2 linked regions of the Nothobranchius furzeri genome follow. The protein of the gene in region 2 purifies or fractionates together with the protein of the main gene of each other region. This does not show direct contact. Links are inferred from orthologs where the notes say so. Each region holds a gene or a part of one and is shown on either strand. Other genes may lie near its edges. The genes, in order: dnajc19 and pam16.

Region 1 (4,342 bases), on a different chromosome or scaffold from region 2:
GATGTGAGCAGCAGATATTTGGAAAGTTGTTCTCCCTTATTGCTGACATGCTTGTTTTGTTAGATGACACCACAGTGATCATTCGTTTACATTCAGAAAGCAGCAGGTTCACTGACTGAACCACTAAGTCACTATAAAAGTAAATTTATAATCCCAATTTTAACTGAGAAATCTGAAAAACTCACAGCTTAATTTTTGTTTTGTTTTATTCAGTTACACACCAGGATTCTTTACTGGTCAGACATGAGATCGTTTCACGTATATCACTTTCTCACGTCTTGAAGACAAAGAACTAGTGTCCTTTTTTTAACACCTTGTCCCCTTTAAATCAGTCAGGGAATCCGCGGGTCCTTGAAAAGTCTTAAATTTACTTTTCCAAATTTAAGGCCTTGAAAATCCTTAAAAATGACAAATAATCCTTAAATACAGTTTCCAAAGGTCTTAAATTACCAAAGACCCAATAAATTAAATTATTTAATTTCTATGAGATTTTTGTGAATTTCTAGTTAGTGATGAGCATTTTTTGTGTATGATGGTTGGCGTAAGCGGAACCGTACACATTCAGTTGGTTGTGAAAGGGGGCTATTTTTAGATGAGCACATTAGCTGGTTAAGCTAGTGGGAGCTTGCGCCATGGGGAAGTGGAAGTTTAACGGTAACTGGATGGCTAATCCCACGTTTGCGACGTGGTTAGCACCGGTTCCAGGCAATAGCTGGAAATTATAGCAGAAATAAAATTTAAAAAATGGCTTAAATTTGGTCAAAGTGGCCTTTAAAAAGGTCTTATTTGGCTCCCTTAAACCTGCAGATACCCTGATCAGTGGTGTCTGAACTTTTGAAGATGTGGAACAAAACTGAAGTTAAACGTTCTCGGGAACCTCAAATATGTCGTTTTGTCTTCTTCTAGAAAAGCTCAAATCATTTTAAGGTGATTTTTTTTTCATTTACATTCCTCAAAACTGTTCCAGAAATAGGCTCATCAAGGACACTTTGAACATAAAAATGTTAGAAAGTGTCGATCTACATCAACAGCTTACAGAAGAGACTTCTAGAGATGCAAATGGGGGCCGCACAAAACCACACCAAGTGTCACAAATGGCCCCGGGCCACACTTTGGAGATGCCTGCTTTATATAGTCCATAAGAACAGTCGTCCATCTTCTTCCGCTTATCCGGAGTCTGACTGCAGGGGCAGCAGCCTAAGTCGAGAGGCCGAGACTTTACTCTCTCTAGCCACTTGGGCCAGCTCCTCCGGGGGAATCCCAAGGGGTTCCCTGGCCAGCTGAGAAACATAGGGTGTTTCTCAATGCCAAGGAACATTGCCTTGATGTCTTGGCCCCGCCCCGGTTGCCTAGGAGATACGTCATCGGGAGCTGCCAAGACGTGTTCCAATGTTCATGGTCTACCGAGGCGTGTGTTCTCCGTTTGTTAGCCGTTTAGCTAGCTGAGCGAGGATACACGAGAGGTGTTTTGTAGCCTAGCCTTGGTCAAAAACTACCCAGAATACACAGCAGTATTTTCAAAAGGATGACAGTTTAGAAGCCGGCAGCTACTTCTGGTACAATTTTCAAGTTTAAAAGTAAGTCGGCTAATTTTAAATGTTTATTTTTTTTTTAGATCCAAAGAAGTTATCTATTGTTGGTTAGTTGCTTATTAGTTGCAGCTTCAGTGGCTAGCGTGTAGTAACTCACTTATATTTTTAATTTATTATTATTATTATTATTATTACTATCTTTATTTCATTCAAAAAAAAAACACAACAGATACTAAACAATATTCATGAAAACACAATATATATTTGAATATAATTTAATAAACATATACACAATTTAAAAAGTAAAAGGCTTGTTATGTATTTATATTTAAACTAATACATATAAAATATAACGTTATCTCCCGTGTCACGTGACGTTACGCGACCGCCGTGGAAGCCGCAGTCACGTGACGCAAGTCTGTTCCATTTAACTGTTTTCTTTGACCAAGGAAGGGCCGTGTCCTCGTAAGCAAGGCGCCTGGCCTCGCAAGACATCGCCTCGCAAGGCCAGGCGCCTTGACATTGAGAAACACCCATAGTCCCTCCAGCATGTCCTTGGTCTTCCTTTAGGTGTCCACCCAGTTGGACATGCCTGGAAAACCTCACCAGGGAGGCATCCAGGAGGCATCCTAACTAGATGCCTGAGCCATCTCAACTGGCTCCTCTAGATGTGGAGGAGCAGCGACTCTACTCCGAGCCCCTCTTGGATGACCAAGCTTCTCACCCTAATAATCTTCAACTTTTGAAAGTTGTTTATATTATTTAATAGAAGAAAAATAAGTTGTATAATTAAATCAGTTCACATCAAACGTAAACAAACTGCTCTGGTTAATGGATATTAAAATACTAATAAACTTGTCTTTGATTTCACCTGCAAATCCAGCTGCTGCCACAGCCAGTCCCACTGCCACCATGGAGCTGGCCTGTCGAGGTAAATAATAATAATGAAACGTGATGTAGTCAGTCAGCCTCACAAGCTTCTCTGCTGCAGCAAATGTAAACAAAACTGCTCTGCAAATGTGTAAGTGCTACTTTCACATTAAATTAAAAAAAAAAATCACCCATTAAACACAGAAACAGTGATTTGGCTGTTGCGTTAGGTAAAACCTAAACAAGGGATTTGTAGAGTCCTGTTGGGTCACACATCCTAGGAATGCTAATGTTAGCTTAGCTATGAAAATAGGGTTATCGCAGTTTATGACCCACTCCCAAGCACGCTGGCGTTTCATACACCCGTCTCGATAGTAAATAATGTGTCCGACCTACCATTTCTCTGTGTTATGTTCCGTTTCTGTTACAGAACAGGAGCATAACTTTTGACCCCTGTGTTTAGCTAGCTCAGACGTCCCATGTGTTTATACCGGAAATGGATGTGAAGTGTTGTAAAAATGCCGTAAAGCGGCTCGCCTGCTGTTCTCCAGATTTTAGCTAGTGGTGCCTATGAGAAATAATTTGGAATCAAATCCGGCTTCTTGGAGGTAAAATCTGTTTAAAAATACACTTTTACTACAGTTTTTTTTACCACTTTTAATCTGTACAACACTTGAAACATTTGTTTGTTTACAAAATGAAAACAAATCAGTGACTTTTTATTTTGATTTTTACTCATGTTGAGAATTAACTTTTTGTCAGATTATTTTAAAGGAGCATTATGTAGAAATGAAGTAAAAATGATATCATGTTGTAAAATGTGGTTACTACAACCACCCTGGAGCTTGTTGCAGGCAAATTACAAATGTCAGCGGCGCTGCAGTATTAGCTCGCAGGAGACACGGCACCTCCACACTCACTGATGGTAAACAGTAGTTGCCTCCGTCCTCCCTTTGCTTTGAAAGGAGAAAAACTGGCAATCCCCGCAGCCGGCTGGATATGAAATATATTTCAGTATAACCTTCCTTCCAAAATGACTGAAACTAGTTAGGAATTTTCTCACTGTAAAATTCTCACTATATTTGTACACACTGCATCTTTAACTTCGTTATCCTTTTCTAGCTCCTTGCCATATTAGCCACTGTTTGTATATTATTGCAATTTTAATAAGATTTGGGACCAGCTTTACTTTTTCCACCGTTACAGCTAAAACGTTACAAAAATATTTTTTTTGAGTTCAGGTTAATGATATTGTTTAGAATTAAACAGTTTTGACAAATCACATATGCCTATTTATGGTTTTATGATAAAGTTGACACAAATGATGAAAATCATTCTCAGAGGGCATGAATCAGTAACTTTTAATTCTGATCAAACTAAAAAAAACACGAGGTAAAAATAACATAATTGACTCATAAATTATTTGACTTTCTAATGTTCTTGTCTCTCTGTCCCATCAGAACTCATTTCTCTTATATCTCCAAATCTTTTCATAATCCCTTTTGTACAACTCTAATTTCATTAGCAGTTAAAGTTGTGAAACACTGAAAAACATGTTTTTAATGATTATTTCTGATTATAACGGGTCACCCTGAGTTTTTCATGCAGGCTGAGCATGAAAATAGTGTCCTACACCTATCTCCACCTTTAGCTTCTGATAGAAAAAAGACGGTGAAACTCTAGGATTAGAAAAGCCGGACAGATCCACGTCACACTGTCACTTATCACTCATGGACTCACCCATCTTGAGTCGCAATAGGGAAGGCTTTTGTTGGTTTAGCGTCCACCAGAGAACGTCTAGTAGAAGCTAACTGTTAGCATTAGCAACTCCACCACACAGCAGAACTCCTCCAGACTTGTGTTATTTGTGAAGATGTAACATCAGCATTGCAGAGCAAACCGAGTCAGTGGTAGGGCTGTGTTGCTGGTATCCAATCAGA
Region 2 (4,595 bases):
TCAACACGAATAGAAAAGAAACAGAAAGAGCATAACAAGGAGTACTGCTCCTGTTCATCCTTGCACAAAGGTGGAGGTAGCAGTCCTGCTGCTGGGTTGTTGCCCTCCTACGGCCTCCTCCACACCTCCTGATGCGCTGGCCTGTCTACTGGCCACAGCTCACACTGATGAGCCATCCTGGATGAGCTGCACTACCTGAGCCACATGTGTGAGCTGCAGACTCCTCATGCCACCACTACAGTGAAAGCACCACCAGCATTCAAAAGGGACCAAAATATCAGTCAGAAAGCAGAGGAACTGAAAAGTGAAGAAGAAGAAAATATCTTTTCTATAGCGCCTCTCAAGATAAAAATCACGAGGCACTTCACAAAAACAAAAAATGTAAAAATATAAAAAAGAATTTAGAAAATGGTTAAAAATATATTTAAAATGAGCAAAAAATAGACAATTGTGATTAAAAAATGTTAAGAGAGAGAGAGAGAGTGAATAGGAAAGAGGGAAATCAGTGGATCCTGAGGAAGGTGGAATAGGTGGGGAGAAAAGAATAAAGAGAGAGTGGTGAAGAAGGTCACACAAAAGCCAGCTTGAACAAGTGAGTCTTCAGCTGCTTTTTAAAGGAGACCACTGAGTCCACTGATCTCAGGCTCAGGGGGAGAGAGTTCCAGAGTCTGGGGGCCACAGCAGCAAATGATCTGTCACCTTTGGTCTTTAGCCTGGTGCTGCACAACCAGTAGGCTTTGATCACTGGACCTCAGGGACCTGCTGGGGGTGTAGTGACTAAGAAGATCACCAATATAAGATGGTGCTTGTCCATGTAAGGCCCTATAGACCAGAACCAGGATCTTGAAATGAACCCTGAAGTTGACTGGCAGCCAGTGAAGCTGGAGGAGAAGCGGGGTGATGTGGGTGTGTTTGGAGGACTTGGTCAGAAGCCGAGCACAGGCATTCTGAACCACCTGTAGACGGTTCAGGGAGGTTCTGCTCAGACACGTGAAAAGAGAGTTACAGTAGTCTAAGCATGAGGAGATGAAGGTGTGGATAACTGTCTCAAGTTCAGAACGGGACAGAATGGGACTCAGCTTAGCAATGTTCCTGAGATGGAAGAAGGAAGAGCGAACAAGATAACTGACATGAGAGTCCAGGGGGAGAGCTGGGTCAAAGGTCACACCAAGATTCCTGACGGAAGGTTTGGTGTGAGAAGCAAGCAGACCAAGAGAGTCTCTGACTTTGGGAACCAGCTTGTCTGGAGCACAGATGTGGATCTCAGTCTTATCTTCATTCAGCTGTAGAAAGCTCCCAGCCATCCAGGTTTTGATAAGAGTCTAAGCAGGTGTGTAACAGCTGCAGCTTAGACATCTCATGGGGCTTAAAGGAGATGTACAGTTGGATGTCATCTGCATAAAGATGGTAGGAGATTCCTTTGAAGAAGCTCAGGATGTGCTGAAGAGGGAGCAGATAGAGGAGGAAGAGTAGAGGCCCCAGCACAGAACCTTGTGGGACACCATGGGTAAGAGAGGTGGTGGAGGACCTAAACTTGGAGATGGCCACAGAAAAGGAGCGCTCAGAAAGATAAGAGGAGAACCACTCCAGAGCAGATCCTGATAGGCCTATCCAGTCTCTCAGCCTCTCCAGAAGCAGGTGATGGTCAACTGTTTCAAAGGCTGCAGTCAGGTCCAGCAGGACCAGAACAGAACAGTCCCCTGCATCACTGTGAGCCAGAAGGTCATTAGAGACCCTAAGAAGAGCTGTTTCAGTAGAATGAGCTCTACGAAAACCTGTGCTCTGTGATCACCGCCTGCAGGACCACTTCTTCATTGGAGATGTCTTACAGGTGAAGTGCTAATAATTTCCACCTGTTGTCTTTTCCATTTGCACAACAGCAGTGTTGCTTCCTAAGTGGACAGTTTGATAGGGTTAGGATGCCATCAGCATTTGGATCATTATAGTCATGAACGGCAATATTGTGGTTTCTTCTGCTGAGAAACGTCTTTAGATGCTCATCAGAAAAGGTCAAACAGAAGGAGAGGACACAAACTTTAATTTAGTTCATTAAAGAACGTATATGAATGTTGAATCCTTTTCTCAAATGCAACCTATGATGAGTGGATAAAAACAAGACTAAAATAAATAAATTTCTCACTAAATATTACAGAGCACGCTCAGAGAGCTTCTAAAAAATGCCACCAGTGTGTGTGTGTGTGTGTGTGTGTGAGAGAGAGAGAGAGAGAATGTGTGTACCTTCTGGATCTCCTCAGGACTGAGAGTGGAGATGTTGAGGATCTGCTGAGCCTCCTGTAGACTCATCCCAGAGATGCTGGAGGCTGCAGCTGACTGCTGACCTGTCCGACCTCTGGCCCGAGCTGCTGCTTGACTGGCTGATGGAGGAGATACAAAGTTCTACATGATTACACACACAAATGCGCGCGAGCAATGACGGGTCGTACCTGCATATTCCTGTTGTAAAGCACGGGCAAAGGCTCTGCCCACCACCTGGACTCCCATCACTATGATCTGAGCCAGATACTTGGCCTGAATGAGATAAAGACAAAAGGAGGCGCGTGGCTGGTAGTTTATAGACTGGATGTCATTAATGGTTACGTCGCACTCAGGCTGAATACCCCAACACGACTAGCGCGTTAGAGACACTCAGCTAATATTCTGACATTTAAAAACCAAATCTGATCAGATAATGAAGCTAGCGCTGCAGCAAACCACGAATTAATCTCAAAACAACAGCTTCTGTTCACGTTTCAGTTTCAACAACAGACTATAAACGAGAACACATAAACGTGACCTTACCATTTTTAAATATAATACTTAGCCTCCGCGGAAGACGACAGTCTTGTATTCACACATGGGTACTGAAGGTTACCGAAGGAGGTCAAAGTTCAAGCAACATTACGAATTCAAGACTGGCCGTCTTGGTGTGACTATTAAGACAGCGACACCTGCTGGCGAGGAAGTCTAACTGCAGCCTGATGCTTCTAAGGTCACCTGTGCTCTGCTTGTAAAACAGTTGTTACGAAAATTAGAAAAGATGAAAGTATGTAAAACAAAAGACTCAAAAATACTTCATAGAGATAAACAATTCTAAAATTATACATAATAAAAAAAAATAAACAATTAAAAACTGATCCATCTTTCTCATCTGAACCGCTTCATCCTCATTAGGGGTTGCGGGGAGTTGGTGTCACTGGGCGAGAGGGATTTGAACCTGTGAACTTCAGCGCTACCAACCGCGCCACCGTGCAGCACAACAAAGGTGCAGTAAGCTGGAATCTGAGGTTTGATCCAGTTATATAAAGCATCTGCACATTTAACAAAACATCATGCTGTCTTACAAAACTTTGATCAAACCTGATGGCTGACTTCCTATAAGTTTTCTCAAACTGATACCATGTAGATCTGTTTCTTAAAAAGATTCTGATTAATTTGTCCAATAAATGAATAGCTGACCACCATACATGAATCCAAATCCTAAAGAACAAAACAAACTTAATGGTGACACTTTCAGATACGTAAGAATCTAAAACGTATAAAAAAAAGGTAATTAATTATTGAAATGCTTACTCCACACCATGTTAAGGAAATATTCATTACCATCTGCTGCTTTGTACAGTCTATGTTTGCACTCGAAAAGAGATAAAGGAAAAGGGGTGAACGTGCCTTTCTGTATGCAACTCCAGTACATGGAGTGTCCTGCCGCTAGAGGTACAACAGGCGTCTCCTGTGGCAGCAAAGCTAAAAGCCGACTTCTGTGCCCTGGCTTTCTTATGACGGTTTTAGTGTTTGGTTGTTTTTAACCTGTGAACTTCTTACATTTCATTATGACTGGTTTTGCCCCCCCCACACACACACACAGTGTTTTTAGTTTTTTATTGGTCTCTAATTTTTTTTTCATGACCCTTGTTGTACTGCGCGTTGGGCAGCTGACACGCTGTGGGAAAATACGCCTTATTAAAGTGGTATGGTATTATTCTTATACATTTGTTTCTAATATTGCTTTATTTAATAATGTATAAGGTAGTGTGTGTGTGTAGCTGTCATGTTAATTACACTGAAGCAATAGGAGCAGAGTTCATATTGTGTTTATTGCTAGAAGATTTAGAAAAAGTCCACAAATCATTACACTAGAAAGACAGGAAACATAAAACAAATCACTTTATAAAAACACACAATTGAAGGCAAGTAACTCCAATCCAAATACAACAATTTCTGAGCATCACAAGTACGTACAGTCAACACCAAATAAACTCACGTGGCACCTGTCACACGGCTGGCCCAACCGGATTGATCCAGTTCTTAAGAGAATGTAAACAAAAGCCGGGTCATCCGTGGGTCTCTGGTCTTATTGCTGCAGCCCTGAGTGACGACTACATGATGGAAGTTAAGAACACTGTACTGTTTGTTTCTCACCACATTCCAGCAGTCAGAGAAAACCAAATGGTTTAGTGAAATCCCACAATAAAAGTTAAAAGCAGCCAGTAAACAAAAACAAAACTCATTCTTGAAGTATAAAAGATCTCCTTAGAAACTCACAATGGATTATTTTACCTCTTCCTGACGTCTATTCCTGGAAGAACAAAGATTAAAAT

What was found.
Region 1: the proteins of pam16 (region 2) and dnajc19 purify together in Homo sapiens (affinity purification with mass spectrometry; 3 studies listed by BioGRID and IntAct, with this or other methods). This does not show direct contact. The link is inferred for Nothobranchius furzeri from reciprocal best matches to the Homo sapiens genes PAM16 and DNAJC19.

The regions. Positions count from the first base shown.
Region 1 is NC_091748.1:72,976,376-72,980,717, reverse strand, and holds the start of dnajc19 (mitochondrial import inner membrane translocase subunit TIM14), read right to left. Parts: upstream 2,924-4,342; 5' UTR 2,802-2,923; coding exon 2,799-2,801; intron 2,456-2,798; coding exon 2,404-2,455; intron 1-2,403. UniProt on the Homo sapiens protein: Mitochondrial co-chaperone which forms a complex with prohibitins to regulate cardiolipin remodeling.
Region 2 is NC_091752.1:57,765,455-57,770,049, forward strand, and holds the start of pam16 (mitochondrial import inner membrane translocase subunit tim16), read right to left. Parts: upstream 2,925-4,595; 5' UTR 2,803-2,924; coding exon 2,800-2,802; intron 2,530-2,799; coding exon 2,445-2,529; intron 2,376-2,444; coding exon 2,239-2,375; intron 1-2,238. UniProt on the Homo sapiens protein: Regulates ATP-dependent protein translocation into the mitochondrial matrix. Inhibits DNAJC19 stimulation of HSPA9/Mortalin ATPase activity.